Arabidopsis thaliana: one gene and its partners. The protein of the gene in region 1 interacts with the protein of each later gene in a pairwise test. Each region holds a gene or a part of one and is shown in the gene's direction. Other genes may lie near its edges.

What was found.
Region 2: the proteins of PRA1.A1 (region 1) and AT4G31430 interact in a two-hybrid assay, tested with the Arabidopsis thaliana proteins (one large-scale study listed by BioGRID).
Region 3: the proteins of PRA1.A1 (region 1) and NTL9 interact in a two-hybrid assay, tested with the Arabidopsis thaliana proteins (one large-scale study listed by BioGRID).
Region 4: the proteins of PRA1.A1 (region 1) and AT3G29270 interact in a two-hybrid assay, tested with the Arabidopsis thaliana proteins (one large-scale study listed by BioGRID).

Annotation. Positions count from the first base shown.
Region 1 is NC_003076.8:397,258-404,705, forward strand, and holds PRA1.A1 (prenylated RAB acceptor 1.A1), read left to right. Parts: upstream 1-3,641; 5' UTR 3,642-3,905; coding exon 3,906-4,063; intron 4,064-4,269; coding exon 4,270-4,310; intron 4,311-4,403; coding exon 4,404-4,482; intron 4,483-4,579; coding exon 4,580-4,666; intron 4,667-4,747; coding exon 4,748-4,836; intron 4,837-4,924; coding exon 4,925-4,996; intron 4,997-5,110; coding exon 5,111-5,214; 3' UTR 5,215-5,220; intron 5,221-5,298; 3' UTR 5,299-5,733; downstream 5,734-7,448. Other genes in the region: RPL (POX (plant homeobox) family protein), read left to right, coding at 1-317, 672-732, 1,070-1,615; AT5G02050 (Mitochondrial glycoprotein family protein), read right to left, coding at 5,982-6,141, 6,236-6,594, 6,703-6,987. UniProt on the Arabidopsis thaliana protein: May be involved in both secretory and endocytic intracellular trafficking in the endosomal/prevacuolar compartments.
Region 2 is NC_003075.7:15,245,477-15,255,089, forward strand, and holds AT4G31430 (flocculation protein), read left to right. Parts: upstream 1-2,900; 5' UTR 2,901-3,033; coding exon 3,034-3,304; intron 3,305-3,638; coding exon 3,639-3,691; intron 3,692-3,840; coding exon 3,841-3,929; intron 3,930-4,092; coding exon 4,093-4,199; intron 4,200-4,278; coding exon 4,279-4,370; intron 4,371-4,804; coding exon 4,805-4,975; intron 4,976-5,232; coding exon 5,233-5,422; intron 5,423-5,516; coding exon 5,517-5,581; intron 5,582-5,684; coding exon 5,685-5,739; intron 5,740-5,829; coding exon 5,830-5,908; intron 5,909-6,018; coding exon 6,019-6,098; intron 6,099-6,178; coding exon 6,179-6,317; intron 6,318-6,394; coding exon 6,395-6,728; 3' UTR 6,729-7,083; downstream 7,084-9,613. Other genes in the region: AT4G31420 (Zinc finger protein 622), read right to left, coding at 511-667, 764-982, 1,085-1,254, 1,346-1,912, 2,183-2,287; AT4G31440 (transcriptional regulator of RNA polII, SAGA, subunit), read left to right, coding at 8,255-9,394; AT4G31441 (uncharacterized protein), read left to right, coding at 9,401-9,523.
Region 3 is NC_003075.7:16,887,905-16,895,754, reverse strand, and holds NTL9 (NAC transcription factor-like 9), read left to right. Parts: upstream 1-4,953; 5' UTR 4,954-5,010; coding exon 5,011-5,176; intron 5,177-5,294; coding exon 5,295-5,803; intron 5,804-5,879; coding exon 5,880-6,227; intron 6,228-6,379; coding exon 6,380-6,655; intron 6,656-6,749; coding exon 6,750-6,869; intron 6,870-7,035; coding exon 7,036-7,221; 3' UTR 7,222-7,350; downstream 7,351-7,850. Other genes in the region: RKD5 (RWP-RK domain-containing protein), read right to left, coding at 890-1,111, 1,196-1,422, 1,566-1,831, 2,264-2,492, 2,594-2,748, 2,833-2,846; HMGB5 (high mobility group B5), read left to right, coding at 7,571-7,617, 7,700-7,786. UniProt on the Arabidopsis thaliana protein: Transcriptional activator activated by proteolytic cleavage through regulated intramembrane proteolysis (RIP). Calmodulin-regulated transcriptional repressor. Binds several synthetic promoters with randomly selected binding sites.
Region 4 is NC_003074.8:11,230,284-11,237,969, forward strand, and holds AT3G29270 (RING/U-box superfamily protein), read left to right. Parts: upstream 1-3,889; 5' UTR 3,890-4,057; exon of another isoform or gene 4,058-4,954; 5' UTR 4,955-5,042; coding exon 5,043-5,834; 3' UTR 5,835-6,175; downstream 6,176-7,686. Other genes in the region: AT3G29280 (uncharacterized protein), read right to left, coding at 6,422-6,489, 6,581-6,759, 6,873-6,952, 7,046-7,119, 7,422-7,580, 7,661-7,664.

The DNA of each region.
Region 1 (7,448 bases):
GCTCCGTACGCTAACTTAGCCTTGAAAGCATTGTCTAAGCATTTCAAGTGTTTGAAGAATGCTATAACGGACCAGCTTCAATTCAGCCACAACAACAAGATCCAACAACAACAACAATGTGGTCATCCGATGAACTCTGAGAATAAGACTGATTCTTTAAGATTTGGAGGAAGTGATAGTTCTAGAGGCTTATGTTCTGCTGGTCAAAGACATGGATTTCCTGATCATCATGCTCCTGTTTGGAGACCGCACCGTGGCCTACCCGAACGTGCTGTTACTGTTCTAAGGGCTTGGCTCTTCGATCATTTCTTGCATCCGTAAGTAACCCTTCTCGCCATATAAATGCTTTTGAAAGTTGTTGGATTCGAGTTTGAACTTGGTTCCAACAATTGATTAAACTAAATGCAAACGTTTAATTGATCATGAACCAAATTGTATATATATGCTTGTGAACAATAGCTTTATATGTGTGTGTCAGTGTGAATAAATATGTGTGTATCGAAGTGTATTTTTACTTGGAAGTATGTTTTAGATGGGACATGTCGACTGCTTGTTTGTTTCCCAAACTTGGAGATGTCGTGTTGCAAGCGTAATTATGTGTCTATATATATGTGTATGTTAGTATATACAATGATATATTAAATTGTTGTTGTCTGTGTCTTTTGTTGCAGTTATCCAACAGATACAGACAAACTCATGCTGGCTAAGCAGACAGGTCTCTCCAGAAATCAGGTTTCACTTCTGATATCTTCAGTCTTCTTCTTTTTTCTCTTTCCATCTTTTCTTGTTCACAATTTAACAAATTTCTTGCTAATTAAGCATGCACATAGTCACATAGATAAATATATGCTTTTATGAAATGAGTTTCTGTTGTCGGACAATAATTATATGTTTTAAATCTTTTCACATATATCATTAGTATAGTAACTATGTTATAATTTGGTTTATTAGGTTTGAATAAGTGTTACACTTTTGTTTTTGAAAATTTATCCGTTGGTGATAATGAATAATTTAGGGATTTTCTATCGCTTGAGGGTTATTAATTTATTATGGTAAAATGTTATTTTAGGTATCGAATTGGTTCATAAACGCAAGAGTTAGGGTTTGGAAGCCGATGGTGGAAGAGATTCACATGCTGGAGACTCGACAATCTCAGAGATCTTCTTCTTCCTCTTGGAGAGACGAACGTACTAGCACCACCGTCTTCCCTGACAACAGCAACAACAACCCATCTTCGTCCTCGGCACAGCAAAGACCTAACAACTCATCTCCGCCTAGACGGGCACGAAACGACGACGTTCATGGCACAAACAACAACAACAGCTATGTAAACAGTGGGAGCGGCGGCGGTAGTGCGGTTGGTTTCTCGTATGGAATTGGGTCGTCGAATGTGCCGGTGATGAATAGCAGCACAAACGGAGGAGTGTCTTTGACGTTAGGGCTTCATCATCAGATTGGGTTACCGGAGCCTTTTCCGATGACAACTGCTCAGAGGTTTGGGCTTGATGGTGGTAGTGGCGATGGTGGTGGTGGGTATGAAGGGCAAAATCGTCAGTTTGGGAGAGATTTTATTGGTGGTAGTAATCATCAGTTTCTACATGATTTTGTAGGTTGAGATTATTTGTGTGGAAAGGAAAAAATATGTTTGACGTTTGGGTATGTATAAGAAGATATGGGGGAATTGAAATGCATATGATGTGTATATTAGAATGTTTCTTCTTCTTTTTTTGTTGTTTGCTTACTTTCACAAATGTTATCTTTTTAAGAAATGAAATTGGATTCAATAACCAATGTTAAAAACATGGGTTAGACTTTAGAGTTGTCTATGTCTTGGTGAAATATAAAAGGCATCTATCATTGTTTTAATATTTTGGCATGATTCAAAACATGGTGCTTTTTTTTTTTTTATGTATGTCACAATTATCGTTGAAGAACGCGATTAAGATGTTTATCATTGATCGTTGATATTATATTTTGAACTATCTTGTTTTACTTGATAGTAAACATTGACTAAACAACATGTTTTCAAACCCTAAACCTTGAAATATTTCAGACTATTTGAGTTATCTTTTTGAGTCGGATGCAGTTTTGACTCCGATCCGCTCAACATTGTTGAATTCTTCTACTCATAAAAGAAGTTTGAGCCGATTTCAAACACACAAAACAAATGAGTTCGGTTTAATGTTCAGTGTGTACTAATACGTTGGCTTTTGAAGATCACATGAGAGCAAAAGTATTGAAAATAAAATTGTGCTTTTGTTGCTTCAAATAACTTTCCATTTGCTTTTGGAAAACAAGAAAGATATATATATATATATATATATATATATATACATAACCTTTCCCTCTCATGGGAAAAAAGTAAATCTTTTTCTTTGTAGAATTTATTCTCCGATCCTAACCATTTCTCAGCCTTTTTGTTTGTTTACACCATTTTTGTTTATATTCTTGGATTATGTCTATATAGAATAAGATGTAAACATAAACTGTATTAGCAAATATGTTTTGAATTATATGAAATTCAATAATTGAGAAGAGGTTCATGTAATGAGCCGAGAGAAGAATATAAAAGCAGTCAAATAATTTTTTCAAAAAACTATTTGTATATTAAAAAGGTACAAAGTAAAAAATAAATTTAAGAAGGTGCCATCATTGGCTCCTAAAGAACAAACTACAAAGAATCAATTTCTCATGATTTGATCTCTCACAATCCGTCTCCTTTATGTGGATGCGGAAAAACACTCTCCACACGTTTCATGTAAAAATTTTAGTTAAATTTCTAAAAACAATAGAGATACTATTCGATTTGTTCTTGAATTATTCATGAATACATATAGTGGCAACCTTAGACACTAGCCACGTCAACCGTACATGTTATATCATATATTTTTATATTGGTCTATCTATATGCTGAACTAGAGTCTAGAGATAAATATGAGAACATATAAGAAACCATGGACAACTAAAGATATTGTCTTTCTGTGTGAGTATTTGTTCCAGAAGCATTAAACCTTCGGAATAAGTATAATTCTTTTGCACCATTACTATTTTTATAAGCTTCACCAGCTCTATATATATTCTCACCATTAACATAAAACAACAACAACACGAAGAAGAAGATGAAGGTACTTGATGATGAACGGGTAATCTGCATCCTGAGGTTTAAAACCAATTAAGCATATACATATGCGAATGTATAGTTTTTAATCCTCGGGATACAGTTTACCTCTTCCTTACTCAAGAAAACACTTAGCTTTAACGGTTTTGGAGAAAGAAGAAGCATCGAATTAAATCCATTTGAAACAGGTTAGTTATCTTAGTGAAGAATATATCCATCAATCATAATTTGGTCTAGTCATTCGAAGTGGGATATGATTTGATACATATAGTCTAAAATATGATTTTATGCCAGTAATATTTTGTTTTCCCTGTCCCCTACCTATATCTAGAGCTTGAGATCCTCCTTTTAAAACTTTTAGATGATTAATCGTTTTACAAATCATAGTCCCAGACTTTCGTTCCAATCTAGATCGGTTTAGATGCGTTTTGTTTTGGAATTTATACAACGAAAACCAAAGTTTAGATTAAAAGATTCGAAAACCGGATTACATAAAATCTGGTCCAGGACCCCTTTGGTTAACGAAAACCAGACTAAAGGGCAGAAACGTCATTTGACAAAAAGAAGGATGATTCTCTCCTTCCTCTTTCCCCAATGCAAAGAAAAAGCATTATAGACTTTTCAAGTTTTCCGATATAAGCACGAAATCGCTGTTTCTCTCTTCGACGAAGCTTTGATAATTTGATCTCAATCGATCGATTCTATTGAGAATTTGTGTACCTGTTTTCTTATAAGGTTAACTAAGGATTGTGGAATCAGAAGTGTTGTGTTTTTGTGATCGGAGATTATGGATTGGGGAAACGTAACGGTTGATGATCTCTTCGATGCTCTCCGAGAAGTTGACTGGTCGTCTCCGCCGCGTCCTCCGTCTGAGTTCTTCTCAAGGTTCACCGTTCCTAAATCTGTCCCTAAATGGGATAGTCGCCTCAAGTGCAATCTCTACTAGTACGATCTCTCTCTCTCTTTCTTGTTCGCCAATTTCATATCTATTCGGATCTGATGTTGTGATCAATCTCTCGTTGAGAATTACCAATCAAATTCGTCCCAATTGAACATAGAATTCTTAGACTTTGGTTAGAACACAGAGTCTTGATAGCTTAGTTTCTGTATTGAGCTTAATTTTGACCTGTGATGATGATCTGTTTATGCAGCTACCGAACAAACTATTTCATCATGATCGTCGTTATACTTGGTATGTGGTGTGAGGAAGTGGCTAAGCATTATCATCTGTGTTGTTTATCAATGATGTCTTGTTCACTTAGAATTGTCAAATTTTACTTCTCAGGATTGGGAGTCCTTACAAGGCCTTTAGCGATCTTCGCTGCGCTTTTGACAGCATTAAGTTTGGCATTTCTAAATGACAGGTTTTTCTTCATCTTCCTTTTGTTTTTAAACTCTCAGAGCTTTGACTAGTGGATATGCTTGAATCAGTAGATCCATATTGAGTATTCTTGTCTACAGCTTTGCAGGTTCTTTTAGTGAGAAGGCGACACGAACCGTCAGAAGATTCTCTCCACAGTTAGCTGCTAAAATGAGACCTCCTTTGACGTATGTTTATCTCTCTTTGTTGCCTTTCATACTCTTTGTTACTCCTTGCTTATTATCATCTATGTTATCTGTGTTTTTTAGACCTGTCACTCGTGGGCGTCCATCATCAAAGAGAGCAATCCATGTATGTGGTCAACCCCGTTGGGTTTTTGTCTTGACATGCTCACTTGGTATGTGGCTTTGTATATTTTCATTTGATGTAATATATCTCCAAAAACCGTAAAAAACATGATTTGGAGTTTTTTTTTTGTTTCGCAGTGAGTTTTGCTCTTTGGTATATTTCCTCTGGTTTGCTCAGAGTCTCGGTTGCGCTACTCATTGCACATCTTGGTATGCAGTCTACACAAATCCTCATAAGTCATAACTTAGTTTCTCTCACTCTACTTCAAAAATCCACATATAGGCTTTTATAAACTCAACCTCTTTTTGTAATTTGTGTTACAGCAACAATTCTTCATGCAAGCTTGAGAACACCGAACTTGAAGGCACGTTTTAACACATTTAGGGAGGAATTCCGAGCAGTATGGCGTAACTACAGCGAGATTTAGAGTAATGTAAGTTTGAAATATCTTCTTCTTAGTCTAACATCTATTTGCTTAACTGGATGGTTAGATTTTCTGAAATGTTGACAGTCTTTGGCAGCTTGTACCACCATGATCGTGTTCTGCTGAGGACATAACGCTGTAAAGACCAAACTTACTGCCTTTCTCCAAGATAAACCCGGTTTCGTTAACACTGTACTATGGATGTTCAATCTGGATTTGTTGCTCAATGACTGGGATCATCTGTTTTTTCTTTGATTTGAGATTTGAGCTCTGAGCTCTTTTTGCTAGCAAAATCCTCTCTTTTTTTTGCTAAAGACTTGTAAAGCTAGCTTTGTTGTTCTTCGTTCTAACACAAAACCCTTTGTGTAAAGTCCTAGAATCGTTTAATAGCTTGCATTTTTTTCTTTCTTTTTTTGGGTTGAGAGGTCTAGTAACAATAATAATGAGATAACAAGAAATGGAAAATAAACAAATGATTTGACTACTTAGCCGAGAGTTTTCGGATAAGAATAGGCAATGGGAAAATGCAAAAGAATTATACTTTATTGAGGTCGTAACATTTTTTCCAACTGACACTCGAAAGAGTTGCATCTTATATCTAGCAAAGTACCTAAAAACCCATTAAAAACATGTAGCAATATTGTTAACAAGCATAACACATGACCTCACTTTCAACGATTGCTCATGGTGATATCAAGTTCATCTAAGATAAACTCAAAAGTTTAAAGCAAAAAGAAATCTCGCTCTTATTCTCTGAACAAAGTTCAGTTTCACTTCTCGACAAAAGACTTGAGATCCTTGAGCCATTGAAGATACTCTCTGCTATCTTTGTTGGCCACATAATCTGCCAGAAAGGTAGTGAAGCTTGGTTTAATACCTCTGATCTCCAAGTACCTGTGGAAAGCCTTCTGCAAATTCTCATCCAAGTCACTGCACATAACACAATAACCAAATTCAATCACATAACAATACCCCAATCTCATATATTCCAAACAAGAACTCACTATCATTGAAGTAAACTTACTCAAAGTCAGGTCCTTCGTAAGCAAGGTCATTATCAGATCCTTGCGGTTGTTTGATCGATAAACTATCAATCACAATCTCATCCGGGTATGCGCTGACTCCAAACTCAAGACACACACCATCACCTTTCTGCACACTAACAACCATCGGAACCCGGACTTTACCCGAGCTCTCTTGATCTTCATCGTCTTCTTCATTGTTTGGTTCTGCTTCCTCTTCTTCATCTTCATCATCATAAGAAGCAACAGAGTCAACTTCCACTTGGATGGTTTCATCCTCAAATTTCCTTGTCAGCAACACAGTTCTCTCCCCTGAATTATCAATGATTTCAAATGGAAACCCTTCTGGCTTATCTTCCAACTGTTTTTCCAAAACATTTCTAATTCAGATACAATTGTTCTAAACCCCAGAAATATTAAAATCTCATGAATTCGAGAAGAATCATGTATATTGAAAGAGAGAACTTACGAAGTCAGTGTCATGAGGAGCCTCCTCTGCGACGGCGCATTCGATTTCAGATTCGATAACGCTAACAAGATTCTCGTCGGCGGTTGTTTTAGAGATCGCACTTTCCGTCGAAAAGCTCGAGACTGAGAATGAACTAACCGATCCACGCCTGATCTGGTGGCTACCACGAATCAGCCTCTCGACGGAGACAGCGCCACTGCGGAAGCTAACCGGAGATCTACCCGCACGGAAAGCAAGATTGGCTACTGTTGACGAAGCTCGACGAAACACGGTGCTCAACGCCATTTCTGAGGATTCTAGGGTTTTCCTTAAAAGTGAAAAGAGAAACAGAAATGAGGGTTTTACTGAGAGAAGAAGAGAGGTTTAAGGTTTGTTTATAGTGCAAAGCATTATGTAGGAGATAAAAAGCCATTTAATAAGGCCCAATTACTTAATGGGCCATAAGAAGCCCATATATTAAAAGGAATTGGTCATTCGTACAGTGAGAGAGGAATGTCTGTGTGTGGACACGTCCTTAAAGGCAAAAGGAGAGAAGAACAAAATAGCTCTTGCCGGCGTCAGAATTGCGTCACTGTTTCTTCCAACTTCAATTTTAATATCGTTGGCTTGAAGTTAAGGGAAACATAATTGTTCCTCCAAAAAAGCAGAATTAAATTTGTGGTAGATACTTGTTTTTAAATTCATATAGCTCAAAAAAGTTGTCATTTTTAATGTTGGTTTTCTGGTGGCGATGCTCTTAATTACCC
Region 2 (9,613 bases), on another chromosome or scaffold:
ATTAACCTTCTGTTTCTATGCTTTTGGTACTGTCTTCTTGTGAATCTGTAATGTTCCTTTTCGTTCTTTCTCAGTCAGCTGGAAAATGAAGCGAAGCAAATGATGCAGACCAGCCTATTTGTAGCCAGTGTTCTTGGTTTTGGACCTCTTTCTTCTTTTTCTTTTTGTTTCTACACATAAATTTTATTTTAGGTTTGTCTTGTGACATTACTCGCAGCAGTCGCAGCCTTTGTACAAAAACTAAACAAAAAGCCTTTTTGGGATATTGTAGTACCCTTTTGTCGTTGTCTCTTCTTTGTTTTACATGCATCTCTGGACAATGTAGATATTGAGAGTAAATCAGAAGTCAACGTTCGTGTATTAATTTTTAACATTTCTATTTCAGTGAACATACTCTTTTTAAAGCTTACTCTTATTACCAAGTAGCAACACAACTTGGTCAAAGACTCAAAAGTACATGAAATCATCATACAATCCAACACTTGAGAACAAGTGGCACATACACAGAAACTAATATGGGACGTTATTGGGCAAGTTTCTTATGACATTACTCTTCACTCCGATCTTGGTACGCATTGTCTCGCCTCTCTTGCTCATCTCCTTGCGCACTTTCATCCTCAAAGTCTCCTCTTTCGACGGTACTGTCTTCAGACCCAGGCTCTTGTACCTGAGAATTTACCATTTGTTGGAATAACCTTAGTTTACCTTGCCGATTATCTGATTGGATAGACTCGGATGATTAACGGGTTTGGAGAAAACAAACCTTGAAGATAAAGAGGCAATTATCTGGTTGCTGTCTTGAGAAGTTGGGCGTGGCTTCTGTCTGTAGTAACGCATGAATTCACGGGACCCGAGAGTTTTAGACGTTGTTGTGTTCTCGGACTTCTCCGTGATCAAGAGCTCAGAACCACCAACGAGTTCTACAGTATTGTCTGTTTCACCAGATACAACAATTTGCTTTCCAGCTTCATCAACATAGCTGCTCAATTCATATATTCCAAAGAAAGGTGCGGATTAAGATTTGGCATAGAACGAGGAATACAGGCGAGAACAAGAATAATCAGAGATAGAAGAGAGTTGAAACCTGCTGCTGTAGTCATAAAACTCTTCTAGCTCAGCATCTTCTTCATCATCACCATCACCATAATGCAGTTTGCAATGACTCTTTGCTTCCATATGTTTTCTTACAGCTTCTAAGCTGCTGAATGGACGGCACAGCTCATTGCAGTACAGACACATGAAGTCTCTCTTGACCTAAATGATGAGCAATGTATAAGTAAACAGGAGTAAGAATTTCAAAGCTTGACAACAACGAACACTGAATGGTAAATTGATGAGTCCAAACCTTAAGACCAAGGTAAGTGAGAAGCCCTTCAGGATCCTTGAGATACTCAATATCGGGAATAAAGAAACCATGATGCTTATGCATGTGAAGCATACAGCTCTCTAAGGTCTTATGTTTTTTGTCACACATCAAACAGCAGGTTGGATCCAGCTCATACTTATCTGCATCACCATCATCATCCATATCTTCAGCAGATCCAGACTCATTCACATTCAACTTAGACAAAGAATCAGAGGCTTCTTCAGCAGCCAATTCCTCGTCAGAATCAACCTCCACCCATTCATCTTCACTATCATCATCAATGGAACCCCTGTGTTGAACACGGCGAGGAAGTTGCCTGATAATCGCTATATCCTCCTCTCCGTTGATTGATGTCCCTTGTGAAACCCGCAAAACATGGCTACGCGACTGAAGATGCTGCTCATGAGCCTTGGAACTCCTGTAACCTTTAGCACAGATTGCACAAGTATAAAGCATAGGTGCTTCATTTGATTTATTCTTCTCCTGAGCAAGAGCAGATTGTCTAGCCTCAAACAAGGCTTCTGTAACTCCAGGAACTCCAGCCACCTAACATAAAAAATTACAGAAATACAAAGATTCAAATGCCTAGAAGTAACCAAATCTATGATTATTGAAATCCTTGTTCCTTAGTAGAATAAGCTTCAAAACAAATTTTCATATAAACTCTACGATTCCATAACCTTAACTAAACAATTTCGATAGCAAAATGGAAAAGCTGTTTCTCAGAAACTTTCATCTCATCACCGACGCAAGATTTTCCCGAGAAACAGATAGGCTTGAGTTCAAATTCGATAGAGAAAGCAGAAGAAATGAAACCTTGCGCTTGAGATTGTAGCGGTGCCAATCGGATTTGTAATGAAGGTTACGTTCTTCTTCGTCCTTGAACTCCATGTTACACGCGTTACATGTTAAACCAGGCATCTTCTCTCCTTCAATATCGATCGATTCTAGAAATGGAAACTGGAGAAGAAAAGAAAATCAGAGAAAAGATAGTTGGGAGGATAAGATTTGTTGTTGATATGTGTAGAGCAACGACGGCTCGTAAATGGATCGGCGATCGTGTTTGTCTCTAAAAAAGCGTCGATTGATGATGATTGATTGCCATCAAAATGAAAAGGAAGGCGCCCCGCCCATTTTAGATCCGATCGGGTTGGAACTGACCCGTTCCTGACCCGATACAAGAGTAGCCCATTTGGCCCATTCTTTTAGCCTTTTTGTAACACTGACACAGTTGACGAATTAAGTATTACTGTATGAGTAACCAAAAAACATTTTTCTAATATTGTTTTTAAAATAACTACTTACAACTTGATTAATTACTTCGTTTAATCATGTAACTTTTTTTTCTTCCAAATTCTAATCTCTCTATTAAATTACTGCATTTATAAGATCTAAACATCATGTGATATGTTCAAAATATGAAAAGAGAAGAATATAATACATGATTTTACTACGATTAATTTTTTTTAATCGCAATGTTTTGTTTTTGCCTAATTTTATTAGTGGAAGAAATTTTAACCGCAGGCCTGTAATTTAGGAAACTAACTATTCACCCCCAATTAAAAAAAAAAACAAGAAGACGACAAATAACGAGAAATTACCAATTTTTCCTCAACACTTTCATTATTTCCTACAACGAACTTCTCCCTCCTCCTCTCACTTTCACCATGGATTCCGTCTCCGGTTACGCCGCCGGAGCAGGTCAGCCTCGAGTCGGTGGGAAAATTGTTCGACCACGACGCACCGCTGTTGTCAGGACGCCGTGTGAGCGCCCCGTTCAGAGATCCCGAGATCCTCCTCAGCAAAACCCTAGTTGGATCTCCAGGCTCGTTTACAAACCCGCCAGCGTAATTGCTTCCGGCGCCGGAAAATTCATTTCTTCCGTCGTCTTCTCCGACTCTTCCTCATCTTCGGAGGAGGACGAGGATTCATCTTCAGGTTTGTACCATTTATTTCAGTTTAGATAGGATTAATTTGAATTTTTGGTTTATTGTCTGGTCGAATCTGAAAGCTACCGTTTCGTTTGAAATGTGAAGTTTGACTTAAAGCTTTCCCATTTTCTCTTTCCTTTAATATGTGGGACTTAAGAGCAGTTAAGCATTGTTGTACTCTATTTAGTTAGGTTACTTCTAAGCTATAAACTTCATACTAATTCTAAAGCTCTAATTTTTATTCATATAATGTAGTTCTGGGATTGAGAATACCAACCAGCTTTGTTGTGTCTTATTCTTTTAATGTATGGATTTTTATATGTTTTCTTCTTTGTTTGCAGATATTGATGGTGATGAGGATGTTGAGAAGAACAATCCCGATTTTACTGAAGAGGTACTAACCACCTTGTTCGTTTTGGTGATTGCTATGCCACTGTAGTCCTATGATAATTGTTTGAAGTAAAGTTCGTGAAGCTAACACGTTTTCAACTGAGAGTTTTTTTTATAAAAGCATAATTTCAGTTTTTGTGCTTGTGTGAATAGGACCTTCTGAGTGCCCAGCAACCAAGCATTCAACGACTCAGTTCTAAGCGTGTAATTGAGCAGCTTCTCTTGCAAGAAACATTTGCAAGGTATTTCTCTGCCTGGCTTTTTGGACATCATAAGTAGCAGCCTCCTCGACTATTCTTATTATTTACACCTCATAGCTTAAAGAATCTTTCTGAGACGTGTGTAGTTACCAAATCTAAGCTGATCTTGTATCCTGCTTATTCATTCATGTGTATGTTGTTTCAGGGAAGAGGGTGATAGGTTAATAGATATCATCAAGGCTAGGGTTGTAGATCATCCCAGCGTCCCCTCTGCTATTGAGACGAGTCATGATGACTATGGATTGACAAGCGGTATGTTACTGATGGTAGACTGTGCAAGTAGACCGGATTAGTCTATGTGATAACGTCTTCTTTTCTATTTTATTTCTAGACGTGAATGTGGGTGAAATGTCCAATACAGCTGTCATGGAAGCAAGAAAATGGTTGGAGGAGAAGAAATCAGGATCAAGTTCAAAGTATAAAGTAAGTTCTGGAAACTTGCTTCTTAACTGTTCTAATTGCTGCAGCCTGCAGGTATCAACTTTTTTGTGATATCTTGTCTCCGTGCTCTAAGCCATTATTATTATAGAAGGAGACATCTTCTGTTTGGGTAAAATGATTTGATTGTTATATGCCAATCCATGTGATCAGCAACTTAAAGCTCTCTTGCAAAAGTAGGTTGTTCAGAATTCTGCGTGTGGCCATCTGGTGACGTTAATTCTGAAATGTCCTGATTGGGAAATACCTTTTTGTCCGCTTAAAATGCAAAAGATCCATATTGTTGCTCTTCTTTTGACTATGAAGACCATTTACTTACATGATTTTGGTCAACTTCTGATAGCTTCGCTTCACAGTATTCTTTTTCCATTGTACTTTAAATGATGATCACCATCTCAGCCATTAGTTTAAATCTCCAGGCAACTGAAGATGGTGCTGGATCGCCTGTGGACGTGGCCAAGTCTTATATGCGAGCTCGTCTGCCATGGGGATCTCCAGCTGCGAATAATTTAGATTTTCGATCACCATCATCAGCAAGAGTGCAAGGGACACCCCTTCCTTATAGCGCTGGAAACTTTTCCTCATCCAAGGTTAGAATTTTAAGTTCTCCAGCAGTGCATACTTTTCTTTTGGTCAAATGTTGTTTGAAAGTCTGAAGTCGTTTCATCTTGGTTTATGAGATAAAATTCTCTGCTTAACTTCTATTGTTTATGTTAGATAACCACGAGGAATTTGTGGGACACTATTTCCAGCTATTCCTAAAGAAAAGTTGCATACCGTTATATGTATTTTCAATGGCTCTCTCAAATTTACCCTTATTCATTCTGACATTGGTTACCAAATGCAGCTGAAAAGGAAGTCCGGTTCTAATCAGTCATGGAATATTCAAGATGAAATTCGCAAAGTCAGAGCTAAAGCAACCGAGGAAATGCTTAAAAGTCCCAGTAGTGTAGCCTCTTTGGAACCTAAATACAGCCCCTATGTTTTAGCGACTGATATGCTCAAAGGAAATGCTTCGTCTTTGAATGCTGATGGAGGTGTTTTTTTTCTTTCTTTATTCACACGTGGAAGAAGTTTTTCAGTAAGACATGAGTTGAAACTGAAATTAACTCTTCTTTTCTGTTCTTTCAGCTGTACGGAATGAACAAAGCAGAGCTCTACCAAATTCAGCCATACCTACCTCTGAGCACAATCAGGTATCAAGCACTCTTTACACTATGTGTCTCTCATTACCAAGAAAAAACTTGCAGTTCCAATCTTTCTTGTTTTGGTGTCCTTGTGTGTTTTACTTGAGTGAAGACTACGGAAGCTAATCAAGCCGTCAAAGAAACAGGAGTTTTACACACTAGATCTCGTTAGTTTCTCCCTTAATCCTTAATTTGTATACACTCTCTCATCTTCGCTTTTTATACTCTGTCTCATGGATTTAATGTGTTCTGATTAGGTGGAGTTGGTTTGGAGGAGACATTTATCTCCACACAAGGAGTCAAGCCATCTGAAGATACGAATACCGCTCCTCAAAGGTTCTTTTTATTGTGCTTATCCTTCCAACACAGATTGTACCTTGTTTCTTTTTGACAGATATGTTTTTTAGTATATCAATCTTCTGAAGTTTTTCAACTGTATGCGACAGTGGAACTGCTGTAGATGACTTCAATGATCAAGATGGCGATTTTATCCAACCTACTTCTACTATCGGAAACACCACAAATGGTATACATTGGATGTTGAATTCCTTTGGTTCTGATTTTTAGTTGGGTTCTCTTAATTTACTTGCGCTCCTATTGATGCAGCTGTCTTGGCTCTTGGGGCAACTTTGGATCCTACTGGGAACTCTTGCATCCCTAAAGATGTGTTTGAAACATCAAAAGAAGCTGATGAAATAGGCGCATCACGTCATACTTCTAACGGTTTCCCATCTTCATCACCTAGGTGAAAAGCAACTCCTTTGTCTGGCTAGTTTGACATGATGACATTATTTCCTCCTAAGCAAAGCCTTACTTTTTCAGTTCACCAGCGGTTATGGAAGGTCAACCAAAACCCACACCACCAGAAGAAACCAAGGCTTCTCAGCCTATAGCTGAAATTCATGGTGATGATATGACAGTAGGGAATGGCTCAGATGGTGCAATTAATAACGAAAGCAATGACAGCCACTCAAGTGCCTCTAACAGTTCAAGCACCCATGAAGAAGAGTGGCTCCCAGGAGACCAGTCTCTACCTAACTCAAACTCAGCAAGTAGCAGCCCGGGAAATACCAAGGTCTTGGCATACAGCAGAAGAGGAAGAGGCCGAGGTAGAGGAAGAGGCAGAGGAGGTCGAGGCAAAGGACGGGCCAAATAAACTTTGTAAGATGAGCTGTACACAACAAACACAATGCAGTAGGAGAGTATTATGATGAGGTAGGATTATGTGACATCTCTTTTAGATTTGAATCCCACTCTGTTTGTGTTTGGTCTTTGGTCACTTCGTTATCTTTTTAGGTTATCTTGTAGTATTTGAGTTAGGAGGATTTGTCTTGTCGAGTTATGTGGAATTGTGTCTCTGTTGTTTCTTTCATTTGTCTGAAATCTCTAATGTTTAATGTTGTAAGTTTGAAGCTTGGTTTCGTTCCAGCTGACGAAGCTTTGTAGTTTGCAGTTTCCATATGTTGAAACTCTTTTTCTTTTGTTCGATGCCAAATTTTTAAATCTTTTTTACTTGACCAAAAAGCCAACACCTAATTTTTTTGGGGGAAATCTCAAGTACTAACACCACTCATCTTTTAACCTCGTAAAGTGTCAAGTAAACAAATTCTGACATGATCCAATATTAGATGAGATCACTCAGATCAAAACATTGTAAGATGAATATAATCAAATGGGTTCAATCTAGTGTTACACAATCTCTTACCAAAGTACAAAAGCAATAACGAGCGAAAAGAAGAAACCCAATAACCAATTTTATCAAGACAGACAGAAAGAGAGAGAGAAAAAACAAAACAGACAGAAACAAAAGTGAAGAAAAACGAACAACAAAAACCCAATAAGCAGCGATCGAAGCTAAAATAAACACAGAAGAGCGAAAGCGCTCAGACATTCAAATCTGAAAAGCCATACGAAAGAAGAAGCCACGAAGATTCAATCGAAGCAGAAGTGTATTATTAAGAAGCCGAGAAATCATTGGGTTGGTGTCGGAACTCGGAAGTTACTTGTTTTGTTCCGATTTTTCTTTTGTCTGAATTCTTTCTGGTCAAATCTTCCAACACTTGTTCTTCTGCTTACAAGCTTGGGTCCCGCTTCTCATTGCCCGCTTCCTCCTTCTTCAATTCGAATTTCATCATTCTTTAGGCAATTCGAATCTGTTGCTCTGTTCTCAAAGCTCCAATCATTTGTTCAACTCAACTGATCTCGATTTGCTCCAACTCAAATTTCGGGAATTCTCAAAGTTCTTAGCTTCCGAATTGGGCGTGAAACAAAAAATGCGGGGTTTTTCTGCTCTGATTCAGTTTCGTCTTCTTACTCGCTCGTGAACTTGGAGAAACGGTTAGTTGGATTGATTCTTCCTTCTTGATGGATTGATTTGCTAATTCCAAGCTAGGGTTTGTAATATACTCTGATTCTGAAACAGCCGAGGTTGAATTTCAAAGCTGGCTAGTAGATAATGATCTCTAGGGTTTGGGTTTTTGGGGAGATGAGATTGGAGTGGCCTGTACTAAAAAGCTTCAGCTGAGTTCTTGAAATGCTTCTGGATTTGAGTTTGAGAATAAATACGTTGATGAGTTGGGTTTGTTTGTGTGAAGGATAACTAGAAGCTGAGAGGGTGCATTTTGTGCACTCCTCTGACTGTTTCACTTAGTTTCGGTTTAGAAGAAGAAGCCAGAAAGAAGTATGCAACGTCTTCAAGATCCCAGGATTGATCTAGCTGAGCTAAAAGTGCATATAGTGAAGAAGGTTGGGGTTGAAAGATCTACAAGGTATTTTTACTACTTGGGCAGGTTTCTGAGTCAGAAGCTTACTAAGAGTGAGTTTGATAAGTCATGTTTCCGTCTTTTGGGGAGAGAGAATCTTTCTCTTCACAATAAGTTGATTCGTTCCATCTTGAGAAATGCATCTCTGGCTAAGTCCCCACCATCAGTTCACCAATCCGGTCACCCTGGCAAATCTTTGGTGCTTGGGAAAGAAGATGGACCTGAAGAAAGCAGATCTCTAAACCCTGACCATATTAGGAATGATCTTGCTTTGTCCAATGGGGTGTTAGCCAAGGTTAGGCCTGGAACATGTGACGACAGGACAATCAGAGATAAGCCTTGTCCGCTAGGGTCAAACGGAAAGGTTTTGGGTCCTTTTGCTTATTCAAGACCTGGTCGATATCCTGATGAAAGAGACAGTGCATTTCTTTGCCCTGCTGAACAAAAGGCGGTTTCCGGTAAAGATCAGGTTGCAGCTCCAATTAGCAGAGATGATGAAGCTCAAGTAAGGATTCTTTCCACACCTCCTGTAATGGCACCTCTGGGGATTCCATTTTGTTCGGCTAGTGTCGGTGGGGACCGCAGAACAGTTCCAGTTTCGACCAGCGCAGCTGCTATCAGTTGCTATGACAGTGGTGGATTATCAGATACAGAGATGCTGAGGAAGAGGATGGAGAATATTGCAGTAACACAGGGTCTTGGAGGGGTTTCAGCGGAGTGTTCTATTGTTTTAAATAACATGTTGGACTTGTACCTGAAGAAACTAATGAAATCATGCGTTGATTTGGCTGGAGCTCGGTCCATGAATGGAACGCCTGGAAAACACAGTTTAGAAAAACAGCAGAGCCGAGACGAGCTTGTAAATGGGGTGCGAACGAATAATAGTTTTCACATACAAACTAGCAACCAACCATCTGACATAACGCGAGAACAACATTCAGTGTCTTTGCTTGATTTTAGAGTTGCAATGGAGCTAAATCCACATCAACTTGGTGAAGACTGGCCATTGCTACGGGAAAGAATTTCCATATCTTTATTCGAGGAACGAGAAGGGGTGTAAAAGAAAATGCTTGGCATGTTGGATGCTGCAAATTGTCTGAGTAAGCTCTCTGGTCCAAAAAAACTGGCCACTGATTTTGGTAGCAGAACGATTCTTGAGCTCTGCATCCCATGTGGACATGATGGCTGATTGACACAACTATGTCCTGCAGCCGCAAACTCGGGGCAGGTTAGTAGATATGAATGAATACGTGTTGTTGTAAGATCAAAAGAAATTTGG
Region 3 (7,850 bases), on another chromosome or scaffold:
TCCAATGGCAAAATTAGAATATATTTTTCTTTATATGAATGCGTAAGAGAAAAAAATTTCTTCACTTTGTCAGAGATGTTCGTAAGTTGGCCTTTTTTCAAAACATCATACTTTTCATTTTTAAATGATCATATAATATATAGATCTTTTTTTGTTTGGTCAAATATATATATATAGGCCTTTTAGATCAGAAAATAAAGTATTGTTATTTCTTTTTTAATATTAAAACAAAAAAAATGATCTTCACCAAAAAATAACAAAAAAAATTTTTGATCAAAAACACTGAAAATGACTTCAAAATGATACTTGACCACGTACAAAATGCCAGTTGCATGGAAAATGAAACAAAGAAAAACATTTTCTCATTTTCGTAAATATTGACGTAGGATCACACACACACGTATACACACTTGTAGACTTCGAACTTCTTTGTACGATACACGTTAATTGATGGTCTTCGTCGTGTGGACAGAGTCGTCGTAGATTTTCAAAGCACGAGCTGGGACCACTCAAGAACACACATAACCAATAGCCTTAAACAAAACTGGTCATCACACTTTTGAAAGTTTTTCTTGACTATGGATGGGTTAATTTGGATCAGTTCCTAAACCATGATTTGGGTTTGATCTTTCACCATTATATAAAGAAATTCGATCTTAATTGCTACCTAATTGCACTAAGAAAAAATAAAAGATTCAATTCTGATATCCGACCACAAAAAATCATGATACAAGAGTTCCTCTCTTCTTGGAACTTCTTATACCAAAAACAAACATGGCTTAGCATCATCTGTTAGACTTGTAACTAACATTTCTAAATACCAAAACGCTTCACAGAAACCCCTAACTAACTAATATATCCGATGTTACTGTTAAAGGACCTAAAGTCTTTAAGTGGAAGAGGAAGTGACAAGAGATTCTTGATTCTTCTTGGCTCTAGAAGCCCTGTGTCTTTTCTTGAAGTTTTCTTGTCTGAATTTTTTGGTTTCTATCCCTATCTCCATGAATGGTCTCTTCACTATATTTCTCTTCTCTGTCTCCAGTTTCTCCTGTTTCTTAGCTACCGCCATTGCTGCTGCTTCATTCTTTTCCTGCTGCTTCTCTGCTTCCCTCTAATCAATACCAAAACAAATCAATGCTTCTTTCAGTGAATTGATGTATTAGGATTGATAAAGAGAGAGAGAGAGAGAGAAGACCTGAAGATCGTGGATGAGACAGTCGAGAGATTTGATCTTCCTATGAGGCCACCGTGGAATCCCAAACTCTCTGCATTTCTTTTTCAAAACAGTGAGACCGACCTTGAGATTCCGAGAAGCTTCCACGATAGTGAGGTCAAAGTATTTTGAAAGCTCTTCTAAGGATAGTTCAGCAACATGTCTCGATGGTGTCCTCTTCTTCTTCTTCAAAATCTCAGTCTTAGCATCTGTGTTTTTACAATAACCCGAAATTAATCACCAAAATGCTTAAAACTGGACCTTGTACCAAAAAAAAGAGAGCTTAAAACTGGCCTAGAGTTATATATTATCTGGAAGGCAAGTCTATTGACATTTGAAGAAAGAGATTTACCTGATTCCGACTGTTCAGTTTTATCGTTTTCAAATTCCGAATGTTCGGTTTTTTCGTTTACAGATTCCTCGGATTCGGTTTCTGAATCAGGAAGGCAGTTAAGATCTTGTTTCAGAACGAGCTTTCGTGGTTTAGGCAGATCAGAGTTATAATATCCCTCTGTACTGCTACTGCATTGTTCTTCTTCATAAATCTTTGATGGTTTTAACTCGGAGATAAACTTGAGCTCGTTGGCTAAATTAGGGATGTCCTCCAGTTTGGGATTTCTATCAATAAAAAGAGCAAAAACATGTTTGGTTGCTAAAAATGCTCACAACTCAAGTAACACTACAATGTGCTTTTTTTTTAGTAAAATGTTAAGTTTTAGAACATCTATGAATTTCTTTTACCGAATACAGAGATAACAGAAGATCGAATTCTATGCAACACTACAATGTGTTATTGTTACAAGCCTATTTGTTCACAATTAGGTAATCTTAACTCATTCACTTTACATAGTCCATTGCTATTTTTGTGCCATTGTTGTCAAAATTTGACAGTCTTGGAGTCAATAAGACAGTAACACTATATAATCTACAATTCGATTCAAGAGACCTAATTCTAAAAAAAATCAATCTGTTATGTGAAAAATATAACAGCACCAAAAATTTTTAAAACAAAAACGTTCCGAATAATGAATGAGTCAAAACTGGCGTTACCTGGAAAGACAGAGAAGAGTAGGAAACCGAGGAAGCGAGTGATTAAACCGGAACACAAAGATACAACGCCACGTGCCAAAAACCGACCCTTCCGAGATCTCCGGTCGCCGGAAATCTTCCGAACGAAACAGAGGCTTCGCTTTCTTCTCTACATAACAGCTTTTGCTCTTGAACCAGAACTCTCTCTCAATCTCCACCGATTCATAGACATGCAAACTCCTCACCATCTCTGCATTAACAAAACCCATAGAAACAAAATAAAAACCATTTTTCAATCCGACCCGAGTCATTCCGACCCGATTCGAGATTCTAGTCAGAGTTTTGACTTACCTTTGCGGATGACGCTCTGGAAAACGGCGAGTGAGGTTAAGGAATGTGCCATGTCCGAAGAAGACCAAGAGTCGCAAAAGCAGAAGCCCAAGATTTTAACATAAAAAAGTTTTATTAATATATTTTTCTTTTTTTCCTTTTTTAGTGTGAAAAATCTGCAGAAGAATCCAAGGTTTTATGTACTTGAAGCGTTTGTCATTAAGTGAAAAGGCTCCAAGAAAAGTAGGTTAAAATTTTACCCTTGGTCCACCATCGAAATTACCAAAAAGGCAGAATATTCCGGAACGCACGTGTAGGCAAGCGGAGCGTGCGAGGGTAGTTATGTAAAATTAACAGTGGGAAGCGGGTTGCACCGAACCAAGCCCATGTAGCTAAACACTCACACGCGCGACGCATGTCTGAAAAGTGGTAATTGAATTTTGTTTAGAATGATTCTACAGAGGTTGAATTTGGTAAATGAATCAGAGGAATATTAAGCATTTGAGCATAATTTCCAATTTGGTCAGATTATGATATATGTAAATATGTCCATGATTCATTTTCTGTTTTTGGGTTCTCTTTGTTCATTTATTAAGTCATGGGCTGAAGTTTTCATATTTTAAGTCATGGGCTGAGTTCTCAAGGACTAAAACTGGTATTGATATTATGATCTGTTAAAAGCCAATTCATTTAAGGTGTTCAAAATCTAAACTGAATAATTGCGTTAAATTAAGCCGGACATGTTTCAATCAAAAGTCAATAGAATGTGTCAAAATACTCTGGGTACTTGGGTAGTATTAGTAACATTAACTTACAAGGATTTTTCTCTATATAAAAATACAGAGTACTAGTTTTGATTTTATCTGAGTGAGAACTTTCTAATAAAACTCTAATCGAAAACAATTAATATTTTGTATAAAATGGAGTGTAGAACCTAAATATTTTGTATTGCTTGGATATATAGTTTTTTTTCTTCTTAACATGGATATATAAGTTCTATTTCGTACATATTTCCCCTAATTTTAATGTTGAATTTTGGAAAACTTTTGTTGGATAGTGACATGAAGACCCTAATTTTAATCATAACATTTTGGAAAACTTGATTGGGTGAGTGATATGGAGGTGATGTTAACGTATGTTTGGTATCAATAGTTGGTCCAATTAGGCCCAAAGAGTCAAAAAAGGTGCCCAAGTGTTGTCAAAAGAGAAAACAATTAAGAATAGGGCAAAGCTTGGCCAGCAAGATTTAGTGGTCATTTCCTAGAAACGTGTCCAAGAATTTATAAAGATGGGTTGTCTTATAAATACATATCGTTCACGTAATTACCTGAGATCAAATCTTAATCATATCATTCATCGTATATAGACTCCAAACACGTTTTTCAAACTCCTATGATCATGTGTTCTCTCTTTGCCTCCGTCTTTGATTGCTTTGTTCCAAAATCAGACTCAAAGATTAGCTCAACTGATGAGAGTGACTTGAAAGTCCTGTCCTCAAAGAAACCAAAAAGCAAATCCCCGAGAGCTCCGATTATGGTGTCTTACTTTCCCGCCGGTTCAAACCTTTCGCGTCTATAAGTGCCAAATAGAAGAGAAGAGAAGATGAAGTATTGGGATGTTGATTTTGATATAAACGAAAGAAGTTTTTGGTTGTAGACATGTTGTATGCGCAGGCTTTAATTTTATGTTTTATTTAATTATGTACAAATAGACCATTTAGATTGATAGCATCATATATATGCTTTGTATTTAAGACCAAATAAAAGATTAATGTTTATATACATGCGTAAAAATGTTAAGAGCTTAGTTAGTATCATTTTCAAAAACTGATTGTCACTTGAGCTTTTATTTTTCTTATTTTTTTAATTAAGAAAAGTTGTGGCCCTCAAAAAGTTACATGGAATCGGAACAGGAAAAAAAAAATGTCGAAAACTGATTAATCTAGGCAACGTTATCGCATTTTCATATCTTACAAATCCCTTTTTCAATTCAGATTTGGTAGAAATGCAAGGAGAGTTCCATAGTGTATATGTAAAATTTGTATAAAACGTCTAGAAGAATTACAATGCTGAATTTGTTGGAAGCTCTGTTTTTCTCTGCTTAGACGTTTCCAACGTGTTTTGGGTTTCTCTGATCACTGTAAAGCCTAAACCACAAGAGAAGAAAAACCACGAAGCTTTGGGCTTTAAGGCCTTTTTGGGCCCTAGCCACAATAATGGAAGCCTATCAAGAAAAGACAAGACAAGACAATAAGACAGAAGAGGACAAGTGTTTAAAGTGGAAGTTATCTTTCTCACGTGGTCTAAAGAAAGGTTAAAAAAAAAGAGGGAAAAAAAAAAGAAGATGAGAGAAAGCAAAGTGTTGAAGACTTTTTAGAAAGCAGAAAAAAAAGCAGAGAGTGTATTCAAAGTCGGAAAGAAACCCTAAAGAAGAGGATTATGGGTGCTGTATCGATGGAGTCGCTTCCTTTAGGTTTCAGATTCAGACCTACCGATGAAGAGCTCGTCAATCACTACCTCCGTCTCAAGATCAACGGACGTCACTCCGATGTCCGTGTCATCCCTGATATCGATGTCTGCAAATGGGAACCTTGGGATCTTCCTGGTTCGTCTCTTTATTCTCTCAAAATTTGATTCCTTTTATTCTCAGATTCTGTTTTCCCTCTCAAAGATTCCACCTTTTTTTTCTTTACTCAATTGGAAACAAATCTGATTGTCGGCAGCTCTCTCGGTGATTAAGACGGATGATCCAGAGTGGTTCTTTTTCTGCCCTCGTGATCGGAAATACCCTAATGGTCATCGCTCTAACAGAGCAACTGACTCTGGCTATTGGAAAGCTACTGGTAAAGATCGTAGCATCAAGTCTAAGAAGACTTTAATCGGTATGAAGAAGACTCTTGTCTTCTATCGTGGACGAGCTCCTAAAGGTGAGCGGACTAATTGGATTATGCACGAGTATCGTCCCACTCTTAAGGATCTTGATGGCACTTCCCCTGGCCAAAGCCCTTACGTTCTTTGTCGCCTCTTCCACAAGCCTGATGATCGGGTTAATGGTGTCAAGTCCGATGAAGCAGCTTTTACGGCCAGCAACAAATACTCACCTGATGATACATCATCTGATCTTGTTCAAGAAACACCTTCCTCTGATGCTGCTGTTGAGAAACCATCAGATTATTCAGGTGGATGCGGTTATGCTCATAGTAATAGTACCGCAGATGGGACAATGATTGAGGTATGAATGGAAACTCTTGAATAATTAATTAGGCTTTTTTGAGTGACTTGACTAATTTTGAGTTTTGTGTTCATAGGCACCTGAAGAGAATCTTTGGTTATCTTGTGACCTTGAAGATCAAAAGGCACCACTACCGTGTATGGATTCTATATATGCTGGTGATTTCAGTTACGATGAGATTGGATTCCAATTTCAAGATGGTACCAGCGAACCAGATGTATCACTAACAGAATTGTTGGAGGAGGTGTTCAATAACCCTGATGACTTCTCTTGCGAGGAATCGATCAGTCGAGAGAATCCAGCAGTCTCACCAAATGGGATATTTTCATCTGCTAAAATGCTGCAGTCTGCAGCACCAGAGGATGCTTTCTTCAACGACTTCATGGCTTTCACTGATACAGATGCTGAGATGGCGCAATTGCAGGTGAGCACAAAGATACATATTTTGAGGCCTATACAATTTTAGAAGTATCCAAATTATTTTGCTTTAAGTAGGCTAGAAACCTCTAGATCAGTTATCTTTACAATCACTCTTGACATAAGTAAAATGACAATTTTTATCTTTTGTTTGATCAGTATGGTTCAGAAGGTGGAGCTTCTGGTTGGCCAAGTGACACTAATTCATACTATAGTGATTTGGTTCAGCAAGAGCAAATGATCAATCATAACACAGAGAACAACCTCACAGAAGGGAGAGGGATAAAGATCCGGGCTCGACAGCCTCAGAACCGGCAGAGTACAGGATTGATAAACCAGGGTATTGCTCCAAGGAGAATCCGTCTGCAGCTGCAGTCTAACTCTGAAGTAAAAGAACGAGAGGAGGTGAATGAAGGACACACTGTTATTCCCGAGGTACGAGACTAGTGATTCCAAAAGTTGTGTCTTAGACATCAATAACATAAAGGATGCATCTTTTTAATTTGTTGTTAATGGTGGGGATGTGCAGGCCAAAGAAGCTGCAGCTAAATACTCAGAGAAGAGTGGTTCTTTGGTTAAACCTCAAATAAAGCTCAGGGCGCGGGGAACTATAGGCCAAGTAAAAGGAGAGAGATTTGCAGACGACGAGGTAAGAATGAGTGAACTTGTTTACACATGAATGAAGAAAGAGTATAGTAGTAAGCTCTACTAAATACTATAGAATTAGAAAGAAAAAAAAGAGAAAGCAATCAGTAGAGCATGTGAGATCAGCTAGTAATGATAAAAGAAACTGAGAAGTATCTTTGTCTAAAGAGAAGTTTGTTGTGGTTACAGGTACAGGTGCAGAGCAGAAAGAGACGAGGAGGGAAGCGATGGAAGGTGGTTGCAACGGTAATGGTGGCTGTGATGGTTGGGGTAGGGATGGGTATATGGAGGACACTGGTGAGTTCATGACACATGAGACACAAAGAGAGAGAGAGAGAGAATCAAATGTAGTTTAATGTAATTAGGGATGATGCAATGTTAGCATGTTTGTGTGTTGTAACTTAAAAACTTATTTAGGAATCTGATAAAAGTTACTGTTGAATTTACACGGATGGTCAAGATTAAATGTACCAACATCTTAATTATCTACGGTCAAGATTAAAAATACCAACATCTTAAATTAACACCGCATCAAAGAATTATCTCAATCGTCGTCTCTCCCCAATTCAAAAAAAGAAATAACCTAAACGTGTTCACACAGAGGTAAGCTCGCTCCTACTCGCCGCCTCATCTGAGTCAACTCCGAGTCAGCTATTTTTCCCCACCGGATTCTCACTTTTGTTCCTCTCTGTGACAGATCTCGAGATGAAAGATAACCAAACGGAAGTTGAATCGAGGAGCACTGATGATAGGTATCTTTATATTTATCCGTAATCTCGATTCTTAGATTCAATTTGTTTCCGTAGTTTTGAAATCGTCTTTTATGATTCTCAGATTGAAAGTTAGAGGGAACAAAGTTGGAAAGAAAACAAAGGATCCAAACAGGCCTAAGAAACCACCAAGTCCTTTCTTCGTCTTCCTGTAAATAAAAATCACTAATCTCTCTTCTTCTTTTTTCTTCACTAATTTGATTACAGTAATTAAT
Region 4 (7,686 bases), on another chromosome or scaffold:
TTTTCTTCGAGAACATCTTTCTTAGGAAAAACACATCCGAACGACATTCCTTACGAAGATAATTATGTAAAACAACACATGCAAATATTAACTCTGCTTGTGTCTTATATGGAAAGGGAGGTGCATATTTGAAGATAAGAAATCTTAATTTGAAGATTCCAAAAATCCTCTCTATTACGTTTCGCAAGCTAGAATGCCGATGGTTGAACAACTCATTTTGATTGTTGGGATCTTTTCCTTGTCCTCTAAAGTCTTGGAGATGATACCGAGTACTTCGAAATAGAGCAAAACAATTACGACAATTGGCGAATCCACAGTCAACTAAATAAAAAAATTTCTGTAATTTAAAGCACAAAATATAAGTAGGATAAAATACAAATTAATAACAAAAAAAAACTATTTTGTCATATTCTAAACAAGATACCTTCAGAAACTTTTAATTTATTTGTGTTTCTTGTTTAGGCATCATCTAATACCTTTGAGTCTTGAGCTGAACCTTCCCATCCACTTAGAACATATATAAATTCTAAATCAAAATTGCATGCAACAAAACATTTTGTGATAATTGTCCTTTTCGATTACGGTAACTAGCTGTTTCTTTTCCTGTTATCATTGCAGGGATATGTGTTCCATCAATAGCGCCCACACAATCCTAAGAAAATAACAAACTTAATGGTTAAAATTTACAATACTTAAAAGAAATAAACACAAAAAAAATAACCACGTACCTTAAAATAAGGATAAAATCTTGTGTTGTCTTTTATTTTCGTGGGCACTACAAGTGTAGGTTTAGCCATATAGCTTGGTGCAAATACATTTAACACCTTCAAAATTGTATTAAAGCTCGTACTTATTGAGAATCTCGACCTCTTGAATCTATCTTGAGCCTGGATATACCTCAAATTTTGCCCAATGATGAACAAAAAGGAAGCAAGCATTTCTTCAACTGAAACATTCATTGTATCTCTTAAACCCATCTTCACTTAAAATATACTGCATAATTTCAGGAATTCTTCTGGATACATGCGATACAAATGTCGAAAATGATCGCGATCTTCAACAAACATATTTTGTATGTATTCATGCCCAAGTCTAGTAGTTGGAAACTTGTGAAGCAAAATATCGGATTTTCGCAAGGATAGACAAAACCAGTAATAAAACCAAAATTTTTTGAAAATCACAGTTTCAATACACCCCCCTTATTGTTTCTATGGATAATTTTTATCACCATATTTCATTTAATACTCTACTTCACAGTTTTAACATGGATGATTTTAATCACCATATTTTATTTAATATTTTATTCACCATAGTTTTACTAATGTTGAGATACATTTGGAGTCCCTTGGGATAACGGAGACTATAAAGGAGAATAATTCTTCGACGGCCCAAGAAAAGACAAAATCGGTGATCTTCCTTATAAGACAAATGGATGAAAGTGTCATATATGACTATGCACACATGAGAGATCCTAAAGAATTCCGGAAATATTTGAAAGATCGTTTCGATCACCAAAGGGACATCACTCTCCCACTTGCCCGAGACGAATGGCAAAGTCTAAGGTTTCAAGACTTTGACAAGGTAATGAACTACAATTTTGCCAAGTTGGGAATTGTCGCCAAACTGAGATATTGTGGTGAAACTATCACTAAATCTCAGATGCTTGAGAAAACGTACACCACGTTTCACAAAAACCACATTACTTTGCAACAACAATATAGGTTGCGTGGATATACCAAATTCTCAAATTTGATTGTGGCACTCTTAATAGCTGAAAAAAACAGTGAGCTCCTAATCAAGAATCACATGTCCCGACCTACCGGATCAAAGGCATTCCCTGAGGTTAATGCATTGGATGTTAAAAATCCGCTTAGAGAAAACAAAATTTTTTGGGGACGGGGCGCCGAAGCTATCACAGACGTGGAAGAGGCTTTAATCCACAAACCAGGAAGTCATACCAAAAGATTCGTCCTGAGCATGAATCGAAAGGAAAAGAAATCCAAGCAAATACTTTTCAAAAATGTGACAGTGCTTGTTTCAGATGTGACCCTAAGGCACATCGGTATCAGGTATGCCGAACTCCAGCACACCTTTGTGCTCTGTACAAAAAATCTGTTAAGGGAAAAGGAAAGGAAGTGAACCTTGCGGAACATTCTGAGGGTACAACCCACCTTGATGCTTCTGACTTTGCTAATGATCTCGATGAGGTTGTCCTTGTGGAAAACTGAAATTTCTATCGTGTGGGGCTCGAATTAATATGTCATAAATAAATCGACGCTTGCTTGAAATTTCCTAAGTTTGTGTGTTTGTATTACCTATCATGTGTAATTATTGTGTGCTTGTGTTACCTATCATGTATAATTATCGGGTGTTATATGCTTGATTAATAAATTTATTTTCTACTTACCTTAATCGATTATGTTTATTTCAGAAATGGATCACATTACAAATGGAATGGTATCCAAGGCAAACCTTAGAGATATTTGCATACCGAATAGTGGAACAACACACACTATTCTAAAACAAAAAAAAAAATTCTCTCATTTGAAATCAACAAAAGTTATTGTTAACACAATATCAGGTCCCATAGACTTAATTGAATGGACCGGTAAAACAAATTTTGCATTACTTAACGGGACAAAGTTCTCGATAAATAATGCATTATTTTTACCAAATTCAAAAAGAAATTTGTTGAGTTTCAAAGATATATACCTTCATGGATATGACACTCAGTGTGCAAGTGAGAATGAAAAAAAGTACATGTATATCACTTCTGAAAAATTGGGAAAAAGACACGTTTTGGAAAAATTACCAAGACTCCCATCAGGATTGCATCATACATACATTAATTCAATAGGATCACATCTTGTTATCAAAAGAGATCATGATGATTTCACATTGTGGCACGATCGCCTTGGTCACCCAGGCACCACGATGATGCAAAAAATTATAAAAAGCTCACATGGACATTCAATGAAACCCTAAGAGTTTTATCAAGAAAATAAAAGGACATGTGTTACGTTTTCTCTTGGAAAATTGATTATAAGGCCATCGACAAGCAAAATCGATAAAGAATTACCAAAATTCCTTGAACGAGTCAAATGCGACATTTGTGAACCTATACACCCACCATGTATACCATTATATTATTTCATGGTAATGATAGACATGTCTAGTAGATGGTCACATGTTTGTTTGTTATCATCTTGAAATGTGGTATTTGCGAGATTTCTAACTCAGATAATCAAAACTAAGAGCTGAGTTTCCTGATTATCCAATCAAAGGAGTTAGATTAGATAACGTTGGTGAATTTACGTCTCAAGCATTCAATGATTATTACATGGTAACAAGAAAAAATGTCGAACATCCTGCACCCCATGTCCATAGTCATTCGAGGGAGAGCTTGTATGATTATACTTTTTTACCTTACTGTGGTTTCTACCAATGGATTTTATTAGAAAAGTTTTAACGAGACAACATGAAAGATATCGCAAAGAGATAAATGACAAATGAACTCTGGACGAGAAGAATGTTGCAAAAATTAAAGAAATATTTACATATTAAGTCCATTTGCATTTTATCTATATACACTCATATAGATAAAAAAAAAACAACGTAAAGTTTCTTTTATTATTATTTTTCTTTCGTGATTGTTCTTTTTCTCATATTTCTTCTTTTTAATATATTTATTATTATTCTTTTTAAAATATTAAAAAAATTGAATTGATAAATAACTTATAATACAAAATTCTATTAAATTATATTAATAAAATTAACCGCTCTGTGTTTTATTTTTTCAGAGGTTTACTTAATCTTCAATAAGCGTAAATGTTTTGGTTGGTAATGTTATTATGTTTATAAAAAAACAACTAACCAAGTTTTTACGTTAGAAAATATCAAAAACACTTTTGGAAGGAAAACTTGGGTACACGATTGAAACGACGTCGTTTATGAAAGCAAAACAAAACCCAGAAAGTTTAGGTCTCGCCGGAAAAATCGAATCAAGCATCTTCTTCTTTCACGTACGAAACAAAAAGCTCAGAGCAGAGTCGAATCGGTACGAATCTTTATCTAAATCACTCTGATTTAGTTTCGGTTATTGTGAACCATTTGATTGCTCTGTCCTTTCAATTATCTATCTAGGTTCGATTACTTCGTTAGCTGCTTAATTCTGTGATCAATTATCTCATTTAGTGATTTTGATTTTAGGGTTTTCTCTTTCTTCCTTTAATCTTATATTGGGATCTTCTGTATCGGATAAAGTCATAACCTTTGAGATAAAGGAATCATCTTTATTGCTGAAAATGATTGAGCTTTAGGTCTAATACAAGTCTGAGAGTCTGATTTCGATTCTGAGTATAAAAATTGAAACTTTCTATTTAGGGTTTTCTTAATCATTTGTGTTGCTATGGTTGCTTAATGTATCACTAAATCTTGGTCTTATTAGTTGGTTGCTACTGATATAGAATTGCATCTGTGAGTAAATTTAGCTCAAAGATAAAAGAGTCCCCTTTATCGCTGAAATGATCGAGCTTTGAGCTCTAATACAAGTTAAAGCGTTCGAATAATCGATTCTGATCATAAAAATTGAATCTTGCTATATAGTAGTTGCTTAATCATTTGTGTTGCCATGGTTGCTCAATGTAGCACTTAATCTTAGTTGATTCTTAGTTAGAATTGCATCGGTGAGTAAACTTGGCTCAAAGATAAAAGAGTCCCCTTTATCGATGAAATTGTCGAGCTTTGAGCTCTAATACAAGTTAAAGCGTTCGAATATCGATTCTGATCATAAAAATTGAATCTTGCTGTATAGTAGGTTCTTAATGATTTGTGTTACCATGGTTGCTCAATGTAGCACTTAATCTTATTAGTTGATTCTTAGTTGGAATTGCATCGGTGTGTCGTTGGGATTGTCTTTGAAGGATTAATATGTGTTTTCTCTTTGCTTATGAAGCGATGAAGCATCGAGTTCGGTGTTCATGAAGGTCAGAGAGTTAAGTATTAGCAGAACTGGTTAGGTCTTAGTGACAAACAAGGTATTCATGTTATCCATCCCTGATACTAGAATGTGGAATCTAGCATCGAGTTATCTTACGGGAAACATTGGACCGAAAAACGATATCAGAAGACCGGTCCATGCTCATGCGGAGTGTTCAGATGACGATGTATCTTCTGTAGGTAGTAAAGACGAAGGTCTCGAGTGTCCTATATGCTGGGAATCATTTAATATAGTTGAAAACGTTCCGTATGTGTTATGGTGTGGACATACGATGTGTAAAAACTGCATTTTGGGACTTCAATGGGCTATTGTGAAATTGCCTACTCACCCGGTTCAGCTTCCTCTCTTCATTTCATGCCCCTGGTGCAACCTTTTGTCTTTCCGTCTGGTCTTCAGAGGAACACTCAGATTCCCTCACAAGAACTACTTTGTGCTTTGGATGGTCGAGAGGATGAATGGAGAGAGACGTAACTCACCTGGTGGAGCTCAAACAGATGGAAACAATGATCATACAAGGGAAACTCCATCTCCATGTCTCCACAATCGCCATCATCGCAGTCAACCTGAACCATCACGTTCTGTTAATGATCATCGCATTCCAAGGGACAACATACAAACTTCACTGAGGAAGTCTCTGGTTTTCTTTGTCCAGTTGACAGCAAAGTTCCCATTAGTTGTCATATTTCTGCTGATAATACTCTATGCAATACCGACCAGTGCAGCCATATTGGCGATGTACATTCTAGTCACTCTCTTGCTGGCTCTACCGTCGTTTCTCATCCTCTACTTCGCTTATCCTTGTCTCGACTGGCTTGTTCGAGAGATTGTCACATGAACTTTCTAAGGATGCGTTCAGAAACTTCCCATTCCTAATTTGACGACTTTTCTTCAACAACTGAGACCCAAGATCGGTCATGTAAGTATAACAATTTCGTAATTACCGTCTTCTTTATCTATATATGGATGTAGTTTTGGATTGCATTGTTGCTCTACGAAGCTGGACGTATGTGTTGTAAGGGCTCTTGCAGAAACTTATTAGTATTTGTGGATTTGTTTGTGAGTGTTTGAGTGTCTCAATAAGATTTATGTATATAAAGTTTATGCAATGTTATTTAGGAATTGCGTAACTAAATGCATTGATTTTTCTTATATATAATGACTAAATTGTATGGGTTTTTTTTTCTTTTGTTTGTTTGTTCCACCCATTTCCATAGAAGAAAGCAAAAGATGACACCCAAAATTAGGGGTGGGTGTACGGCTTTTCGGTTTGGTTTCGGTTCGGTTATTTCTCTTTTATGTTTTCTATGAGTTCTAGTCTAGATCATTTGAGCTTAAAGCGTTAATTGTGTTCTACGATATGAAACAAAGACTCAAAGAGCATTCAAATATGATGTATACACAAAAAGAAAGAGTTAAGCTGTCTTAGTTTATGTGTCCCTCTTCCACCGCAGCAAAATCAAGCCCGGAAATCTTCATCGGTCCAATGTTAACTGGCAAAAACCCCGGTGTGTTGATTCAACAAAACAAGACAACATAAATGTAATGAGAATGGCACAAGAATAAAGTGTTGGTTTTACTTACTAACAGCATCAAGTCCAGCTAATTTGGGCATAAACTGTCTGATATGGTCCTCTGCTGCTTCATCTGCCTTCAATGTCTCACACTCGAACGAAACCGATACTTTCTTCTTCCCGTGTTTTTCTTCGACTAATCCTATCACATCTTCCTCCCACCTTTCCAAAGACAAGTAGTCATATTCACTAAACATAGGACAGTAAAAGACTCTCACAAAAAGGTTTTCAAATTCAACTCATTCGAATGTTTTCTCCGAAAAGCTAAGAGCATAACAGATACGAGAACAAGGACAACTTACCCGTGAGCATGCTCGACATCATTAATTCGAGCAGCATCATGGCCTTTGCACTCCACTACAACTGTTTGTTCCTTCTTTCTCTTTTTCACCAAAAGAAACCAAGGAACAAACTCAATATCATGGTTTTGGAAATTAAGAGTTAAGAATCACAAAAGGAAGTGAGAAAATCATACATTGTAGTCTATGATAGTGAGTTTGATCAACCGATAATCCTCACCGCGGCTACACTCAGTCTCACAAGCTAGTTCTTTAAACAGAGAAAAGCAACATCAATAATACAACAAATTGCAGTGAAATCAAGCAATGTCATGTCAAAATTGCCACAGTAACTAAGCCATTGGATCTTTATCAATCATTCCAGTATCAATAGATGTAACTAGTGCAAGATTAAGTCTTTAATCTGAATCATTTACATGCTTGAGAACCAAACATTTCTATCAAATCCAAGCAAGAACACAAAACATCTAATTGCAAAACAGAATCAAACTCAACAAAGAGAAAAGACCACATTTTTTTGGTTTGCCCTAGTAAGAAGAGATTTGAAGTTACCAGTGCCATGGAGGCCATAACAGATAGAGCTAGGCATCTGAATGAAATGACCAGAGATAGTCCCACATGGTAACAAAGCTATTGATGCTACTCCTTCCTTCACTTCTCCTTCTTCATCTTTCTTCTTCTTCTTCTCTATCTCTCCTTCTCTTCCTTCATCTGCAATTACACCAATTCCTTTACAACAACATCATTCAACAAAAAAGAAACAGTTTCGAAATAAAGCCAGAAACTTTTACCCATTGTTGCTTGAGAGAGAGAGAAA